Linked DNA regions of Drosophila melanogaster. The gene in region 2 interacts genetically with the main gene of each other region. Each region holds a gene or a part of one and is shown on either strand. Other genes may lie near its edges. The genes, in order: otu, Hrb27C and l(1)sc.

Evidence for each region.
Region 1: of Hrb27C (region 2) and otu, changing one suppresses a phenotype caused by changing the other (phenotypic suppression), as found in Drosophila melanogaster (one study listed by BioGRID).
Region 3: of Hrb27C (region 2) and l(1)sc, changing one enhances a phenotype caused by changing the other (phenotypic enhancement), as found in Drosophila melanogaster (one study listed by BioGRID).

Annotation. Positions count from the first base shown.
Region 1 is NC_004354.4:8,483,958-8,492,199, forward strand, and holds otu (ovarian tumor), read right to left. Parts: upstream 5,579-8,242; 5' UTR 5,417-5,578; exon of another isoform or gene 5,391-5,416; intron 5,166-5,390; exon of another isoform or gene 4,987-5,165; intron 4,896-4,986; 5' UTR 4,875-4,895; coding exon 4,647-4,874; intron 4,585-4,646; coding exon 4,487-4,584; intron 4,418-4,486; coding exon 4,263-4,417; intron 4,206-4,262; coding exon 3,810-4,205; intron 3,757-3,809; coding exon 3,620-3,756; intron 3,426-3,619; coding exon 3,300-3,425; intron 3,037-3,299; coding exon 1,792-3,036; intron 1,724-1,791; coding exon 1,547-1,723; 3' UTR 1,051-1,546; downstream 1-1,050. UniProt on the Drosophila melanogaster protein: Catalytic component of a deubiquitinase complex consisting of bam and otu. The complex deubiquitinates K63-linked polyubiquitinated proteins; this antagonizes the ubiquitination activity of Traf6 and regulates the IMD immune signaling pathway.
Region 2 is NT_033779.5:6,918,094-6,924,160, reverse strand, and holds the start of Hrb27C (heterogeneous nuclear ribonucleoprotein at 27C), read right to left. Parts: upstream 3,458-6,067; 5' UTR 3,300-3,457; intron 3,196-3,299; exon of another isoform or gene 3,088-3,195; intron 2,902-3,087; exon of another isoform or gene 2,721-2,901; intron 2,523-2,720; exon of another isoform or gene 2,363-2,522; intron 1,431-2,362; exon of another isoform or gene 1,427-1,430; 5' UTR 1,335-1,426; intron 378-1,334; 5' UTR 256-377; coding exon 1-255. Other genes in the region: nop5, read left to right, coding at 5,550-6,067; x16 splicing factor, read left to right, coding at 4,219-4,637. UniProt on the Drosophila melanogaster protein: This protein is a component of ribonucleosomes. Could be needed to organize a concentration gradient of a dorsalizing morphogen (Dm) originating in the germinal vesicle.
Region 3 is NC_004354.4:407,004-411,761, reverse strand, and holds l(1)sc (lethal of scute), read right to left. Parts: upstream 2,042-4,758; 5' UTR 1,967-2,041; coding exon 1,193-1,966; 3' UTR 945-1,192; downstream 1-944. UniProt on the Drosophila melanogaster protein: AS-C proteins are involved in the determination of the neuronal precursors in the peripheral nervous system and the central nervous system.

The DNA.
Region 1 (8,242 bases), on a different chromosome or scaffold from region 2:
AATCGGTTTCAAGTTCAAATATTTTTTTTTGCGAACACTTTTCGGTGATAAAAAAAAAAAAAACAAAACCAAATAACCAACAACAGAGGCGAAATGAGTCACTTATGCTTCCTTGTAATGGGTTTGTGTTTCGCAATAATCGCCTACTGTTCTGGACAAGTTAGTATTGTTTTAACAATGACTGATATGTTAACCATAGAATAACAACAAATAATACCTATAACAAATTTTGTCCAGGGTATCACAGAAAGTCCTTATAACCGAAATTGTTACAGAGACATATATTGCTTATTGGCCGATTCAAATTAAACAAACCATACAGGTACGTTGGTGAATTGAAATATTAAACTTATGTACAAAGATTTCTGTGATACCATCGTATTATTAGCTTCCAAGTTCTTTAGTACTTTAGCATATTTTGTAATTTTTGTTTAAGATACTTATTTTCATAATTTATTCCAACTAGCCCTTATCTAAACGGACAACGGAAACCAGTATGGAGGCGTTGCACTCCTTAACTCAACTTATCTTCAGCATTCTGGATGGTTTTAACATGGGTTAGTTTTAGCAGGATAATGTTGACAGCTCAAAACATTTTCAATGTACTACATACTAAAGTAATCGTGATTGATTGAACTAATGAACCTTATAAATTTTCTAATATCTAATTTTCTTAGTTGTAAATACTTTTTGTTGTTTTTTTTTTCTTAGTTAGTATGCACTAATTTGATGTAATATGCTACAATATAAACCCATGCATTAAAAAACTATCTGCTTATCAAAAATAACAGCGTTTTCTAAAACTAACATAGACAAACAAATTATGACACAAATAAAGACAGTACATACAATAATAACAAACTTTTACAATGAAACTAAAGGATTACATCAGAGTTCTTTATCGTTTCGAAGATCAGCGTCGATGTGATGTGACGAGGTGAATCAAAGTAATCCAAGCCAATCCACACCTTTTGTTTGCTATCTGAAATCGCGCCGAAACACGAGAATACCACGTAATTGCAGCACCTGCAAAAGTCTTTTGTACATTTTGTCTCTTGCGCTGCAGTTGAATCTTGTTTTATTTATGGTTAATTTTTGATGGTACACTTTACATAGGTGAGTCTCTAGCCGAACAGCGAGCACATAAATATATATATATATATATATGTATATATATAGTAGATAGTATGTAGATATTTTTGGTTAGAAGGGTTTTAAATAAATCATATAAATAGGTGGTTCTTTGATTTCGTGACGGCTAACTTTAAAAAAATTCGCATAAAATTACGTTAAATTACATTTTTAAAATGAAGTTGGGTTGACATTTGCGTTAGGTTATGCAATCGATTGTTGTACAGAAGCTGAATGGTTTATGATAGAGCGCCAACGCTTATGGCCTATAAAAAGTTAACTACAAATTTAAAAGTGAGATTAAATTTTAAAAGCCGTTAATTGCAATGGAATGTAATGCCTTCGATCTGTATGGCCTCTCTCTTTCAAGTGATCTGTTTTTTGCCCCCGCTCCCTTTTTTTTTTCTTTCTTTGTTTAGTGATGACGCGTTGCAGCATAGACAGCTGCCGGCTGAGATTGGACAGATAAGGGAGCTGGTTGCAAGGTGGCTGGCTGCTGTTGTTGTGGCTGAGCCGACGGGTCCATGTTATAGTTGTTGATCACCTCATAGGGGGACACCACCGGAGCTGGCATGCCCCAGGCGTAGGGAGTCTAAAAATGGTCGAGTGTCGATTGCCTATAGAATATTTTGAATTTGTTAGTGCATGTATCACTCCTACCTGTCCTTGAGCTGCTCCCCCTAGCTGTGGTGGTCCCGCCTTGTGGTAGAATATCGGTGGCGGTGGCGGCGGTTGGAGCAACCTCGGCGGTGTTATCAGGTGATGATGCGGCGATGGAGTAGTATAGAAACTAAACTGACTGCCATTCGAGCTTGGCGATGGCGTTGGAGTGGGCAAAAATGCCGCTGGCCCCAGCGAATCCTTAATATCTTGCAGCTGCTCCGGACGTTTGCCGCGCACCTTAACCGAATTCAAATTGCGCTTGGCGTAGGCACTTTTCTCAAGCGGTGACTGCTCTGTGGCATTTGCCACCTCTGGCGAAGGTGGTGGTGTTGACTCCACGGCAGTCAAATTGTCCTCTGTGGCGCCAATGACTACAGTCCGTCCTGCCTGTTGATCAGTGTTGTTCTGCTGATGGTATCCAAACATTCCTAGTTCATCAGGCGGCGTGTGGTGCGACATGCGCCAATGCAAATCCACGCCCATGTTGTAGAAGTATCTCAAAGTCACCATATCCACGGGCAAATCTTCACCGTTTGGGTGTAGAGAACGACGTGGCTCGCCAATTCCGGTAACATTTAGCGGTGGAGAAGGAAGCGGCATAAATGGATGCGGTCCCGATAAAGCAACAGCTCCCGGTGGTGGTGGACCATAACCACCGAATGGCATGTATACACAACCTTCGGTTGGCGGTGGATGCGGGGTTCCTGAAATGGGGAACGGAAACTCCTCGGCAATAGCCATCGGAGATGCAGGCCAAGGTGGCGGTAAATGCCCAGGACGACTCGGTATCATTGGCACGTAATTCATATACTGAGTGGGTGGCGGGGCAGCCGAACCCGAAACCTCCTGGTTTTGGCTGGAACTCGAGTTCTGCGGCTGAACCCTTGATGCCTTCGTGCGCTGGTGTTGCTTCTGTGCCTGCGGTTCTTCACGATCCCGCTGCTCCGTAGTCGGGTTCTGGTCATTTTGTTCAGGATCATTATGATCCCGCTGCTCATCGTCCTGAATGTGCACACCCTGATAGCAATTGTCCACGGGCATGTAGGGCATCAAATCACACTTGCTGTGCTCAAAATACTGGTCCATTTCGAACAGCTTGTTCTTCTTCCATTTGGAAGACTTGTTGGCCTTACCGGCATACTTGGGCAACGGCAAGCGAGGCATCTGGCGATGATAGCGGAATGGCAACGACCATGGGCGGTACTCATCTGGCGGCAGGGGATGGAGCGATTCATACGGGACCTAAGCCAACAGATATGTTTGTATATTAGTAAGCTCTCTATTAAAGCGAAATAGTTACAATTAGCTTCGGATACCGAACATTTTTAGCCCTTGCAGATCAATTATTTTATAGACTTATATACCAGTTCATTGGGCCACAATTAATATACTTTTAACTAAACTTTAACAAATTTAACTAATTGTTAAATATGATAATCGTTTCTAATCGAAATTTTTGCATTTCTCTGCAAGGGTCTAGAAAATCAGATAAAAAGAAGAGGTACCACTATCTCTTTGCCAATCCTCTCAACAAAGACGTGGCAGTAATTCTTATCTTTGGAGATATTTTGAACGTGGCACGTGTACATCTCCGTTTCGTTCGGCAATTCCACCTTGCACTTGGCGCCCACCTGGAAAACAAATAACACGGCGACGAGACGAGGAAGGATAAGGCAAGACATACATGTATAGTAAAGTATAAGGTGTATCCAGTGTATAGATGAAAATGAAAGGGTGTTAATTTGGATGGGTGGTTGACATGAAACGTGTGTTGGTGTGCGTGTGTATGTGTGCTAACGATAATCCAATGTTCTGCACAGTTTACCTTAAAGTTATAGTCATTTATGTAGACATTATAAAGCTTGGCCTCCTTGCGCATATCGTTCCAGCAATCAAATTCTATATTACGATACATATAGGGGTCCATGGACTTGGCCACTTTGTAGGGAAACGGAGAGATACCTAAAAAGAGAGTATTATGTAAGCATTTGATGTTTGAAACCACCTCTACTGACCATCATCTAGCAGCTGGCGGACACAGGACTCCAATCGGTTTGGACACATGGGCAACAGATCGTTTGGTTCGTGGCCACTGCTGCCGGATGCCTTTCGCTCCTCCTGGTTTTTAATCTCCAGCCGGCCTCCCTTTCGAGCATTAATGCTCTGATTTCCATTGGTGCTATGGAAATTGCACAGCTTATAGTTTTCCAGTATGCAGTTTGTGTCCCCTGGCAGATCAAGCTTAAAAACTCGTCCATCGGTGCAATGAATGCGAACCATATAGCCCTTGTCATCGAACTCCACATTGAAGCGATCCCAATTGAAGGTGTGTGGATGCAACATAATCTCCACAGCAAAGGATACGTCAGGCAATTTGAAAAGCTTCTGGTACAGCAACTTAAAGGCGATTGCTGAAAGCAACGTACATATACAAAAAGCAAAATTGGATATATTAATAGGCTACGTACATTGACAAATGGCGGCTCTTTCTATATATTCAACGTCATAAACCGAATCAAAGTGATTCTCATTGTTGAAGAAGACACGGAAGTTTTCCGCATAGCGACGATTAAAAACGACGCTGGTGCCCATGTTGTAGGGCTCATACAGGATAACATTGCGGCTGGAAGTCGTACAGAAATCATATATATTTGTAGAATTTAATAGAAAATAGTAACTAAGGATTAATTACCGATATAGGCAGGACATAGCGCGTAGTTCTGTCATGGTTCCATATGTCTTGGGCTTGGACATGTCCTGCATGTAGCTATCGAAATCGCCAGGAATTTCCTGGGATATAAATAAAATTATTTCTTTTTTTTTTACAAAATGTGTGATTGTTAGAGGCCTACCTTCTCAAAGATGCGTCGTTTTAGGGTCATGAAGCGGACGCACTCTAGCCGAATCTCGTAGTGCAGCATCTGGGTGTCGTACATCTGCTCGGCGATCACACGGAACAAACTGGAGGCGTCCCGGGCCGTGTGCTTACGGTAGAGTCCACGGCTCTCCAGATACTGATCATACGGATCCGGGGCCTGCCGGCTGCCTGACGTAATGGGGCGCTGCACTTGCATGTCCATGGCGACTCTGGAATCGAGAAACTTAAATTTTATTCATTTCATTTTTTTTTTGTCATGTTTTCCCTTTGAAATACAAGTATTGCACAATTAACAGTTAGAAGAGGGCCCTGACCTCGATCTATTTGACCTTCACAATCACTTTTCAACTGCTATCTATTGTCGTTTCACTAAGAAGTGCGCATACTAAGCTTTATTACTTATTTTATGTTAACTATTGTATAGTTTTTTTAACTTTAATAGTTTTAAAGCAAATTTGCTGCAATACAAATATATTCCAATTATTAACCGACTCCATACAAGCCGGGCTTCAGAGCGAGATGACAATATGCACCTGCGAATTCAAGATGGCGCAGTAGAAAGGCAAATGAAGCAAAAGAGCAAAATTAAATGTGATGAAGCTGATGAAAATTAAATATTTGTTTAAAATTTAATGATTTAAAAGCCTCTCATGCTGCGCTTAATTAGTTAATTTCGTCACTTGACAAATTACCGTTACTATAAATGTTTCAACTAATACAGTTAAAATCGAATCGAGATATTACCGGTGTTCTGCTGTTCGTCTTCTGTTGTACAAATTCTATTTTTATAAATAGTTAACAATTAAATTAACAATTAAAAATAACACTGGCATCCGCACCTAGCACCGTTACACGAAGAATTGAAGCGAATGGCGCGATCTAGCCTTTCAGAGAACCCGCGAACTAGAATGCGAACGAAAAGTATAAGAACGAACTTCCAGTGCCTGGAAGGATGCCGACAAACGAAATTGGGCAATAGTGATGTGCGGAAATGAATCAATGGAGTTGGTTCGTGATTTTATCAACAAAATAAATATATCTGATCTTGTTGAATACTTTCTAAATGAAATACACAAGTGTATGATATACTTGAAATATATTGCTGAGCGGTTAAAAAACTCCTGTTATCGCCGTCTATCGATGACACCGATAGCGGCATCATCTGTTCCGTGTCATCCCCAAAAGTTTCTGTTACCTTCAAATTGTTCTTGTTACTGTCGTTGCTGTTGTTGCTGGCCCGCTTTTTAGGGGGTGGAAAATGCCGCTTTCCACACGGCGCACTGTTGTTCTTGTTCATCAGACTCAGTTCGAAATTGCGAGTCAATGAAGCCAGGAGCAAACTTTCAGTTCGCGCTGTTACCGCGACAAAAGTTGTCTGGAAGAGATGTGAGTGTGTGACTGTGTGTGCCTTTTGTTTTCCTGTTTTTTTTTTGTGTTTTTTGTGTTCTCGTGTAAAGTTATGTTTTTGTTTATTGTTAGTAAATGTCGTTAGTTGGTTATCTTGCGAGTGTGCAAAACGCAACGACTATGAATTCTATTTCCTCTCGGTGTTTCATCAACTTTACGCCATGTTCATCTGTTTCGTTTTCCTCCTCCTTCCATCGAATAATAATAACAAAGAGTTTTACATATGAAAATCACAGTCATTAACAAAAACAACACACGTGGACTCAACCACACACAACAATGGACATTTGTACATGCGATACACACATGCAAATAAACAACGTTATGAAATTGGAAGGAGTGCACAAAAGGAAGAAGTAGAAATGTGCGGTTATTTCATATCCAAGCAATGCCGTAAAAATCAATAGGAGCGACAAACAAAGCACGTGCTTGTGCGAGTGCGATGGCAAATCGATAAACCGTTAATCAAGTTTGTTGAACGCGTGTTCGCCCCGTCTCTCTCTCGCCTTGTTTGCGCCACCTCTCTTTCCCACACACGGCCCAACGAAATAATATTTCTTTGATTCCTTTTCGTTAATTCCACGATTTTCGATTAACTGGGTCAAATGGTGACATAGATATGATGTTCTTTTTTTTTGGGTGGTATTTCATTTTCCAGGTGCCGAGGTCAATGTCACGGACATTTCTGCAATGCCGTCTGCTGACCTTCGAACTTTGGTTCGTTTTTGTCAGCAATTAATTGATTAAATGATTCGGCCAATATATTGTCGGTCGTCTTATCAATATACCGATTATACAACTATCCTGTTCCCGCAACTATCTTATCACCAAAAACAAAATAAAGAAAATACAAAAATATAGGTCTCTTGAACCGGACTCGTCGGGCTCCCAGATAAGTGCTCCATTAGCTCCATCTCGCTTGCTCGCGGTTCTTGACATGTGTCCCTCAAACACGAATTAACGACTTAAACTCTTCATGTGATAAAAATCGACGTTCCTGTTTTCGAAAAACCATCACTTTGTTTTCCAAAATATAAAGGTCTTTAAAGCTTTATATCTGATATTGCATGGTATTTTATAACATCTAAATGTTGTTTTTATAAGTGGTTTCAAAATCTTGTGCTGTGTGATAATATTATATTAACGTAATTTCACAAATATGCGAAATGAAATGTTTGATGGTGTAGAAATACAAACAATACCAACCATCTTTGAAATAGCACAGTGAGTTTCTGAATTTGGGAACATCTCGAAAGTTGTCTTCTCTGCTTTTGTTGTTTTTTTTTTCTGATGCGATTGTTTGCCGGTCGGCGGCTAAGAATTTCCGTTTGCTGCTTTTAGTTGCCTTCGAACATTTTAGCTCGTCGCGTCTTTGCTGAAATAAAAAGGGGAAGTAAGAGGTAAAGCATACAGTCCAAACAAAACAAAGAGAATTTCGCTTGCCAAGAGAATCCGAAGCAACATTTGCCAAATAAAAAAGTGAATTGTGCATGAGAAATATCTTCTTTTTTTTTGTTTGGCTGCCACGAACCGGTTATTTTATTAGCTTCACTCTAGCGAACCGCACACAGTCGTGGACGCAACTATTAGGAACACCCATCTGTCTGCGAAGTGCCTGGTTTGCAAAGCGCAAATATATTAATAGGGCAGTAATACACAGTTCGTTGTTGTTCTTTTATAAATAGCTTGACAAATTCAGTATCGAAAAATCTTTCAAGTGATTTCATTAAAAATATCAGGGTGCTCGAACCCTACAGTGTAATGCTGCCTTAACAACAAAATTATTATCCTTGTCTTTATAGTTTTGCTTTACTTAAATTCTTGCTTTTCTTTTGATTCTTTTTTCTTTTCACGTATTTGCTTTGCCAATCGAATCGGTAAAATACCGCTTACCACTTGTTGTTGTCTCAGTCGCAAGATGCAGCCGTTTAACAGTAGCGGTGCCCACAGTGGCGGCGAGAAAAATGAGACCCGCATGCGCCGCCGGCCCATATGTAAGCTAAATTTTGACACCTTATCCAAAAGACCGTCATATTTTTGCACTTCACCCCGAATTACGTTAATCCCCGATGCTAAGTTAACCGTTTTATATCTTAAGTTAAACTCTCATTTATTTGCTTGTTTAATTGACATTTATTTAGTGTAACCTTATTTACTAACGCT
Region 2 (6,067 bases):
GCGCGGATTGCACGGCTTGGGGTCGATGGTGCGACCGTCGAGCGTGTGCGGTCCGTTCTGCAGCACGTGGTTGACGTTGGTGGGATCGGCGAAGGTAACGAAGCCAAAGCCGCGCGACCTGCCGCTCTCGTTGTTCTTCATCACCACACAGTCAATGATGTCCCCGAAGCGGCAGAAGTAGCGCGACAGGTTCTCCTGCGTCGTCTCCCAGGATAGACCGCCCACAAAAAGTTTGCCCCTCTCGTCTTCCTCCATGATGTTGTTTTGGTTGTGGTTGTGAGCTATGGCGCCGGGTAGGTTCTCAATAATTGACGTAATCTTGCCGCTTTTTTATTAACACGGGGTGCAAAGAAATTAACTTGTGTTCGGTTGGTTGCCTGTTTTGGGGGAGAATATACAATTTTTACACTGCTGCTGGTATTTTTTTTTTGTGTTTTTTTTTATGTATTTATGTTTGTATGTATTTTATGTATGGGTTGTCCAAAAAGTAATTGCGGATTTTGTAAATGAAAGTAAATGCATTTTTAATAAAACTTCGAATGAACTTTAATCAAATATATTGTTCGATAATCTTTTGCCATCTTTCTGGCGAACATCCGAATTAATCGTTTGGTTCCTTGGAAGCAGCTAAAAATATACGACACCCTTCCAATACCACCAAACAGACAGCATAACCTTCTTTTGGTGGATATCAGCCATTGAAGTGAAACGGATCGAATTCATTGCGTTTAAGGTGCTTATCACAAGCGTTGATTCGGTGTGTTAAATGAATTTCTTTCAATACATGTGGTACCCAAATATCAAGCTTTTTCACCAGTCCAAGACTTTTTATAATGAACGGTTGATTTTTGGTATATTTAACTTCTCTCCTATCTCACGCTCAAGTTACATGACGATCTAATTCGATAAATAATAATGCTTTGATTTGGTCATCATCAACTTCATTTGGCCTGAACGTGGCTCATCTCTAAGTGAAAAATCTCCAGAACGGAATTTGCGAAACCAATTTTGACACTGTCTTCCTTTTAAGGCTTCATCACCATACCATCGTATCTCTCGTAACTTTCTAGCAACCTTCTCCGCGTTTTTTCCTTTACGGAAATAATAAAGTAAGATATGACGAAAATGCTCCTTTGTGGGCTCCATATTAAAATTGACGCCAAACAAACAAATAAAAACAAAATTTCGCGCACTTTTTTTTCTAATGGAAGCTAAAAGTAACAGCTGATAACTGACCAAAGAAAGAATGCAATTACAGAGTTACAAGCCGTTGAAAAAATTTGTCAACGCCGACTATATGAAAAATCCGCAATTACTTTTGGGCAATATCTTACTTTTTGGGCAATATCTTAGGTTGGTTTCAACGTTGCCAAAGTTCTTTTTTCCTTCAAAACAATTAAACAAAAGCCACGACGTTCACACGTAACTTTCTATCGTAACAATATCGATGTCGTCGGTTTGTTTTTGTTGCAGGCACATGGAAAGATACACATAGAATATAAGAAATCCGGTTAATCGAATTGCTACACAGGAAAAAACAAGGTGGAATAGTTAATTTGGTTATTTGCAAACTGACGTTATTAAAATTAAAGGCCAGGGCTATGGTTGAAATTTTTTTAAATTTACATTTCCTTCGGAGACAATATTTCTTGCTGTGTAAAGATCTTTGGTGCGAATGGGTAGAAATGGTCAGATGACAAAAAATTCACGCATAGTTATTATGAAAGGCACAGGTAGGAACAAAAAAAAAAAAGAGAAAAAAGCGGCAGAAGCAACCGGCCGGTACACATACACACAAACACACGCAGCTGAAGAGATTCCGCCGTACACGTGTATGTGTGTTTGTCGTCTAACTGCTTTTTGTACACGTTCACAAGTTTGCTCCTCCTTCGACACCCCAACACTACTCTCATCCCCTTTCACTCGTTTTTGAACGGCTACGTGAAAGTATTGTTTTCTTTTCGCTGTGTCACGAGCGGAATGGTTGTTGTTGTTGTTGTTGTAACAAATCCCCAGCCTCACTCACACACCAGCACACATGCCGCCTATCAATGAGAACAACGAACTTATGTATTTCCAAGGTGAAAAGAGAGCTGTCGCCGGTTCACCACATTTGCGCGCCATTTGCCAGGGTATTACAGATTACAGCCAGATGTGGGCCAAGTAAACATCTACAGGAGTATATTTAAATTTTTGTGCAAACGCCAATGAACAACGGGTTTAAATTCACTTTGTTATCAAGAAAATCCCGTTTTCTTTACTGGCAGCACTTCGCAGACATTTTGCCCATTAACAAGTGAAAAAACATGTGGCAACGCCATGTGTGACGTGAACGCGAATGGAAAGCGAAAAGCAAACGTACCAAAAACCAATGCCCTCAAAATAAATGTTAATTCCATCGAAAGAAAAAACAAACAATTCTTTTTCGAGTTTTCCTCCAGCTTTAAACGATTAATGTTTTATTGTTGTTGCTGGCTGAGTACTCACGACTGAACTGAATGAATCGCACTGGCAGTGTGTGGGAAATTCACCACGGCAAAGGCAACGAAGAAAAAAAAACAAAATGGAAGACGTGCCTTATGAAAAATGATACAACAAAGAAGTCTCAAGAAATGTCTTGGGTCTCAGTTCTTAGAAAAGGGAACAAACGCATTTCACTGTATTTTTACGCTTTTCGTTTTGTTTGGCCAGCCAGGCGGTTTAATCGATGGGGCACTCACTAATTCACGAATGCACTTTCACGCCGGGTACACTTTTGACACTTGGGCTTTCGGGCCGGAGAAATAGGAGCGAAATTAACCAAGATTTCTAATACGCAATTTTACGAATTTCGCACGATTTTTGTATTTTGCACCGCAATCTGCTGGCGTGTGTGAGTGCATGAGTTGGCCGTACGTGTGTGCGCGTGAGAGCGTGTGTGTGCGCGAATGGCCGCCGAGCGCTGTGCAATGGTGTGCGTGATCGTTGGTGTGGTGTTATACATAGCATTTTTTCGTATGTATGTATAAAAATATGAAATTTTCCACTTTGATGGGTGGAAATAGAGTGCCGAAAGTGGCACGAAAAATCGCTGAAAATTGCACAAACCTCTGTTTGTCGAGAAATCCGAAAAGGCGAAGAAACGATTCGAACGAATCGAGCCAATTTTACCCCACACACAAACACACGCGCACACCGAGCAATGGCAGCTGCGTCAAGTATTCAGGCGTTTTTTTTGGAAAGGAAAGGCTAGGCAGGCATTTTGTTAAAGCACTGTAATTGTTATGTAAATGCGATTTTCGGTCGCTTTTCGTTCTTACCGTTTGTGCCAAGTGTTCGTCTGTGGTTTTTTAAAGATTTCGCACTGCAAATTCACTAAATTTAAGTGTTTTTTCCTTAAAAAACTAGCTTATAAATAATTGTATGATTTTGATGCATACGATATTATAACCTAACTTATATGATAAATCGCCGCCACGTTTAATGCTGTGTGACCGCCGCCAGCCAAAAAAAATACCTCAAGTTGCACGGAATATACTAAAACATACTCCACATATATTCTGAATCTAACAGATACTAGAAAACAAATTTAAATTACGAATTTATATCTATCTTTTAACACGAAGGCTAAATATAAAGGAAGTTAAAGGGGACTGGTTAAAAAAATGTATTATAAATTATTTACATTAAAATGTAATTGTGCAGTACAATAATATCTTAAAGGTGAAAAATGTAATAAGATGTGTGTATATGATTTGTATGTACTATACTAAAAAAGGTTTTATAGTCGCTTTCTTTAGGCGGATGGAATGTTTTGAAAGGAAAAAATAATTTTGAGTATTTTTTTCGTAGGAGTTGAAAAGGAAATATTTAGATTTTCATTTTTCGGCCCTGGAAGTTATTGTTGCCAGACACTCCCGCCTTTTGCTGACCGTTACCCGCGGATTGAGCATAACTTTTGGTATATTTTTAGCGAGTCCGCAGTTTCTTTTAATGGTCTGTCCACGGTCACTCTGTTTGCTACCCGGTAAAATGAGTTTTGCGCTGCATTAAATAGAAAATAAACACAAAAATTCGCATCTGCCGACCGTGTTAAGTGACTAAAAGTGTTCGCCAGTGCGCGATTGACCGACCAAAGTGCCCAGGAAGGCGGTGGCAAGTGATTCCAACCCATCATCGATTTTTTTCTGCGCTGCTGCCACATTAATTTGGGCCCGGGGAAAAGCGAAATAAACAGAAATGTCGCGCCATCCGAGCGATAGAAAGGTGTACGTGGGCGATCTGGGCAACAATGCCCGGAAGAACGACCTGGAGTATGTATTTGGAGCGTACGGCAGTTTGCGCAGCGTCTGGATAGCCCGCAATCCGCCGGGCTTCGCCTTCGTGGAGTTTGAGAGTGCCCGCGATGCGGCGGATGCGGTGCGCGGATTGGACGGACGGACGGTTTGCGGGCGCCGAGCCCGTGTGGAATTGTCCACCGGAAAGTATGCTAGGTCCGGCGGTGGTGGTGGCGGAGGTGGTGGAGGCGGTGGTGGTGGAGGACTCGGAGGACGCGACCGAGGCGGCGGTGGTCGTGGGGACGATAAGTGCTACGAGTGCGGCGGACGGGGGCATTTCGCTCGCCACTGTCGCGAAAGGAAGGCCAGGCAGCGACGCAGGTAAGCGCAATTCGCATTTGCAATTCGCCATTTCAATTTTTCATTCATTGTCGTTGCCAAAAACTTCTTGCTTTTTGTAACATGGCGAGAGAAAGGCATACATACAAACAAACGCATACATACATACATGCATGCTTGTGTGTATGCGCATGCAAAAATGTTGAGTTTGTTTGGGCACCTCTGTCGCCTGTTAAAACTAACAGCGTGCTGTTATGCGCAATGAGTGCTGTTAATCCCAGCGCATGAAGTAGTTCTGTACCATAACAGCACGCACACGTGCTCGGGTGGCATACCCATTAATATCGATATGAGAAGTATATAGCTTCTACAATTGTCTAACAAAATCATGCTTGACAACAGTAGTTATCTATTCAGATAGTAATAACAGAATTTTGTTTTTAAGTCTATTATATAGACTATTATAAGTCTAATATATTGTAAAAATGTAAACACTTTCGTGATTAATAAATATATAAAATATATATATTTTATACTCTTGAGCACAAGAATTTGTCCGTAAATTGCACAAAAGCTTACAAATAGTTACGTGACAATGATTTAGCGAAGTCCTCTAATATATTTAATATTGATATTAAAGTTTGATTGATTTGATTAGAAATAGACAAATTAAAATAAGTGGTAAACAAAAGGGTAGCAGGCGGCTGCAAGACACCCTCCTACGCTATTTTCCCCGCGCTTTTACGTTCGTGGTGAATTAATTACAGTGGTGCTGTTATGCGCGAACCAAGTGGCAACGCCGTAGACCGAAGGCACACGTGCTTGCACTTCATTTTGGATTTTTCTTTTACACGCGGCATACGGAAAAGAAGGTTAAGTTGCTGCTGGCTGCCGAGAGTTTCGGTGGTTTTAAATTGAATTAAAATTGAAACTAAATGAGCAGAGCGTAACGCGATGTTTGTGCTCTACGAAACGCCGGCGGGCTACGCGATTTTCAAGCTGCTGGACGAAAAGAAACTGGAGCAGGTGGACAATCTGTACCAGGAGTTTGAGACTCCGGAGAAGGCCAACAAGCTGCTGAAGCTGAAGCACTTTGAGAAATTCAATGACACCACAGAGGCGCTGGCCGCTGCAACGGCGGCGGTGGAGGGCAAGGTAGCCAAGCCGCTGAAAAAGACACTCAAGAAGCTGCTCGTTGACGACGTGCAGTCTTCGCTCTTGGTTGCCGATGCCAAACTGGGCACAGCCATCAAGGACAAACTGTCGGTACAGTGTGTCTGCAACACTGGCGTCCAGGAGCTGATGCGCTGTATTCGCCAGCAGGCGGACAGTCTGCTTGGTGGTCTGCCCAAGCGTGAGATGACCGCCATGGCCCTGGGTCTTGCCCACTCCTTGTCGCGCTACAAGCTTAAGTTCTCGCCCGACAAGATCGACACAATGATTGTGCAGGCCCAGTGCTTGCTGGATGACCT
Region 3 (4,758 bases), on a different chromosome or scaffold from region 2:
AATTACATTTGCCATTGTCCTCGTCCACTACCTTCGTTTTTCTCTTCCGTTTTTTTTTTTTTTTTTTTTGAGGAACATCTTTGAGTTTTTGGCGGTATTGCACCGCTTCCTGTTTTATTTAGAGTTCTGTTCTTATCACATCCTCCTTTGGTAAACTCAGTCCAAGTTGAATGCCGTTTCCCTACGCACGTGTCCAGCGCAATTGGCAATTTGCATATTGTATGCTAAATAATGGGTGTGGCATCTCCTGCCTAGATGACATTCCTGCATATTCATTTAATGGCCCTAATATTTCACCCTTGGGGTGGGTTTACTTTCCAATTTTTAGCTACGGGGTTAGCGGAAGTGCATTTCACGGCTCGCCGACGTCGTCCAGCTTGATGAAAAACTTTGTGGCGGTGTGCGCCAGCCACGTGGATTGTGCGAGTCTTCAAGTACTGATCCTTGGACTAGGACAATTTCATCCTCTCAGGCGTGACTGCCTATTTCCGGGCTATTTACGCGCCATTAACAATTCCCGGCCGAATTGTAGCTCGTTAGGGAACCAATCATGAAAATATTCGCTGTTGTTTCCTGTCAGGTGCTTAACTCTATGTTGGTTACGAATTTTGAGTGAGTCATGTCCACGCTCCAAAAGTAATTGAATATAAATAATAAATTGGGTAACTTTTTTGTGAAATTATTATTTCTATCGCTAGTACCATTATTAAGCCTGAGGCCAAAACAGCTAAGCTAAAAAATAATAATAATAATATAAAAATACATAAATTAAAAACGAATATCATAACATATATATAGTCAAAGCAATGCTTCAAAATGCAGATTGTTTAAAAACCTTTTTGGCTCTGATGCTGGTATGAGAACGAGAACTCGTTGTAATTACCCTACATGACGATCTGAATATATTTACGAGTAAGTGATTTCAGTAAAAAACATTTGGAATTAAATTTATCAATATGTTTTTATTTTGGCTTAAAAGTAGTTAGTTTAGTGTCTTCCATGCTTATAACAAACTTATAACTATGAAAAAAATATGTCTTCCATTGCGTTAAAATATAATAAAAAAAAATATGGGGTAACTTAGAGGCTAATGTGAAATTTGAGACTTGGTTTTACACTCACTAAGGCAACAATTTAGGGTATTTACAGTTTGTACAATATTTGTTTGTTTGGGACTTTTAGTAAGACCCCTTCACTGCTCTTGCCAAGATGAAATATAATCGAGTAGCTCCTCGTCATCTGGCTGCTCGTCACTGAAGCTATCAAAGGAGTCGAATTTGAGGTCCTGCTCTTGTAGTTCCTGTTTGATATAGCCACCTCCGGAAATCTCGGATCCGGAGTACGACGGCGTGGGCGAGGCGGAGTGGTACGAGTGGGATTGGGCAGACTGGGTGGCTCCCGTCAAGAACTGTTGCGAACTGTCCAAACTATCGTTGTAATCGTTATAGCTGCTGCCATCGTTGCTACTTTCATCGGCGGAATTGTAGATGTGACGAGTTGATGAAGCAGTGCCATCATCAAGCATGTCCTGTAGTCCTCGAATATATTCAACGGCGATTCGCAGTGTGTCCACCTTGGATAACTTCTTGCTGCTACCACGTCCTCCATTGGACAGCGAGTTTACCACAGTTTGAGGCAAATGCTGGCGGAGATTGACGAATCCATTGTTCACCTGCTTCACGCGATTGCGTTCACGGGCATTTCGTCTGGCTACCGATGGCAATTGCTCGCCATAGGGCATGTTATTGTAGTTGAACTTCTTCTTCTGGGAGGACAACATGGGTCCAACATTGGACTGTTGACTCTGCTGCATATTCTGCAGTTGGCTGGTACCCAAAGGTATTTTCGGAGCAATCAACTGGTGCTGCTGCGTTTGATGGTGATGCTGATGTTGCAGCAAGAAAATGTTACTGTTGGTCAGCTGGTAATGCTGCTGCTGGAATTTGCTGCTGCAAATGCTCGTCATGGTAATCCTTGCGAGAGTTTTCTAAGATTTAGTTTACAGATGTTGACTGTGTGGAATCAGATTCCGCAATGATAATTGCTGTTCTGATCTAGGGCTTTAAATACCCGGCAGTGGCAGAGGGAAACGCGCCGCGACAGAGGCAGCGACTTCGGCAGAGGAGCTACAGGGGTTGGTACGGGGTCGGATCCTGGCTACCTGCCCTCGAAAAACCGGGACCTAAGTCCTTTGCACAAGTGATCGTACATTTTTCCTCTCTTTCTAGGGGTTCTTTTTCTGTGGTGGGTGCCTCTATTCCTACTCAGTCTCTGTGTGCCTACCTACCCATCCTTTTCCCTCTCCCACACACTCTTTGTCCTTTGTGTCCGTCTACATAATGCATTTTTTCCTTTTGGGAAAATTTTAAATCTCAGATCTGCAAGATCCTTGTCATGGCTAAAAAAAAAGATTTTGAATGCACTTCCACTTTTGTCGAATGTCGTTTGCATTGAAAGCGAAAAATAAAGGAGAGTGAGATCTTGGAAGGGAATTTGATATAAAATGTGATCCATCAAATGAAAGAAAATGATGCGAAGGCAAAAGAAACAAACTTAAAAGACCATGTCGTGGGACTTTCACTGTCTTTAAAACTGCGTATCCACTTTTATATCCTGTAATGTTATGAACCTTCATTAATATTTTTTCTGACCCATCTGCATTTGACACGTGCTTCCGATCAGTCCGGTGCATTAGCATAAGCTTCAAAACAATGATACATAACATCGCAGAGCGGCGCAGACAAAATCCCACAAGTGTGTGCTGTATCATGAATACCAAGCGTACTATAATAAGTAAGGGGACGGCCAGACAAATAAAAACGAAACCATCACAAAGGCATTGAATATTGACAGCAGTTGGGATCAAAGTTGCAGTCGAAACACTCTTACCCTTTCATCAAACGCTTGTGATACAAGAAAGCGATCTAAATTTGGGCTGTGCACTCGACAAAAAATGTAATATTTCTGACTGGTTAATATATGTCTTGTATGAACAAACAAAAACTGAATTCAATTAATTTGCATAACTCATTAAATCGTATTAAGGCTACGATGCAATTTAAAATATTTTTTTGGGAAAATATTTTGATAGTGTTGCATTATTGAATAAATATTTTCTTTTAAAGATAATTATTTCGTGGAATACTTCTAAAAATCGAATGGCAGTTTTGATTTTAAAGCATGAAGCATTTGTGTTGCTTTAATATCAAGACATCACTCATAATCAGGTTTAGTTCTAAATTATCAAATTAGTATGTCGAAAAGCATTAAAAAAGGTCTTTAAATGTTATTTGACTAGCAAATTAGTATTTCAAAAAGCTTTAAAAAATGTTATGTCTTTATTTATTTGCTGCTTGCTGTAGGGTTGTGACTTATTATGCCCAGTCCAAGAAAGTAAAGTTATTCCGTTTACCAACAATCCCCCTGCAATTAAATTAAGCATTCATAAATCTGTAAGGAGCTGAATCTGAAACAAATTTCTGGATTCGCAACTTGCAACTTTGTTGCAATGGGAAGGCAATACCGTTACCGAAGACGGATAAGTCGAGTTACGAGATTGCTCCCATAAATGCATAAAATCTTAAAAAAAGCCATAAGCAGCTGCCCTAAAGGAGATCAGAAAATTAGAGGAAATTGATCCCACAAGAATGAACGCTGAAAATCATAATAAAGCAAAAAAAAAAAAAAAAAAAAAACACCATTTACCTAATAATTGGTTTTTAAAAGTTGCTACCGAATTCGTTTTCTAATGCATTTATAATATCTAGAATAAAAATCTTTGCGTCATCACCTTTGTATTTCTCTTGGTTCGAAGCAAACCCTTTTCAAATACTCTTTTAATATGCTCCAAACACACCCACCAAAAAATAGGAAAGTAAAAAAGGTTTTGGTTTCAATTTCATAAGCCTCGGACACCATGCCCTATAATGTTCAGTGATTAATTAATCCGCATGAGATCAGAATAGTGTTGATCCCAGTTTCGTTTTTGGGGGACGCAGTAAATATAAAATAGTGAACAACTGGCCAGGGTTGTCAGGTTCATGGTTTCCCAGGTTTCCAATCAGCTAGTGTACCATAAAGTGGCGGTCTCTATATAGTTTCAATCTTCCAATAAGTTGCTGTACAGCGACCTCTATTGTCCAAAGGTTTCTCAAGGGGATTCTAATTAGAAAAGTAGCCGACAAAATGAAGTTGACAAAAACATACATGATAAAAATAATGTTAATTGTTTTTATATGAGGTCTAGTCTATGCTTTTACATGTTCAGTATATGTCACATACAGCAAATGAATATTGTTAAATTATTTATTTGCTGTATTCTTACTAATGTGAAAATGTCCTTTATGTCTTGAAGGGGAGTGTACAAATCTCGTTGACTGTTGACAAAGAAAATAATTATATATTTCATGTGCTCTCCGCACATTACCACTAATTAGAATTCAAAACAACAGCTACCGAACTAAAAATCCGTGACCTCCGAACCGGAGAAATCGAAATAGGAGTAAGTTATTCGGATTCCTCTCACGTACGCCAGAGGCAAGTGTAAAACGTGATAGACTGGATCGCCGGTGGGTTACTGGCGATATCATAAGCGTGAAATCTGCCAAATTCGAGCACAGATCCGTATCATCTGTCATCACATCAATTTGGCTTTTTATGGGTGTTTTTTTGGTTATATCTCCTGGACGGGATCAAGAAGCGGAAATTGTCACTTTTACTTGTGATATTGCCGGGTCTTATTTTAAAATGAAAGCGCTG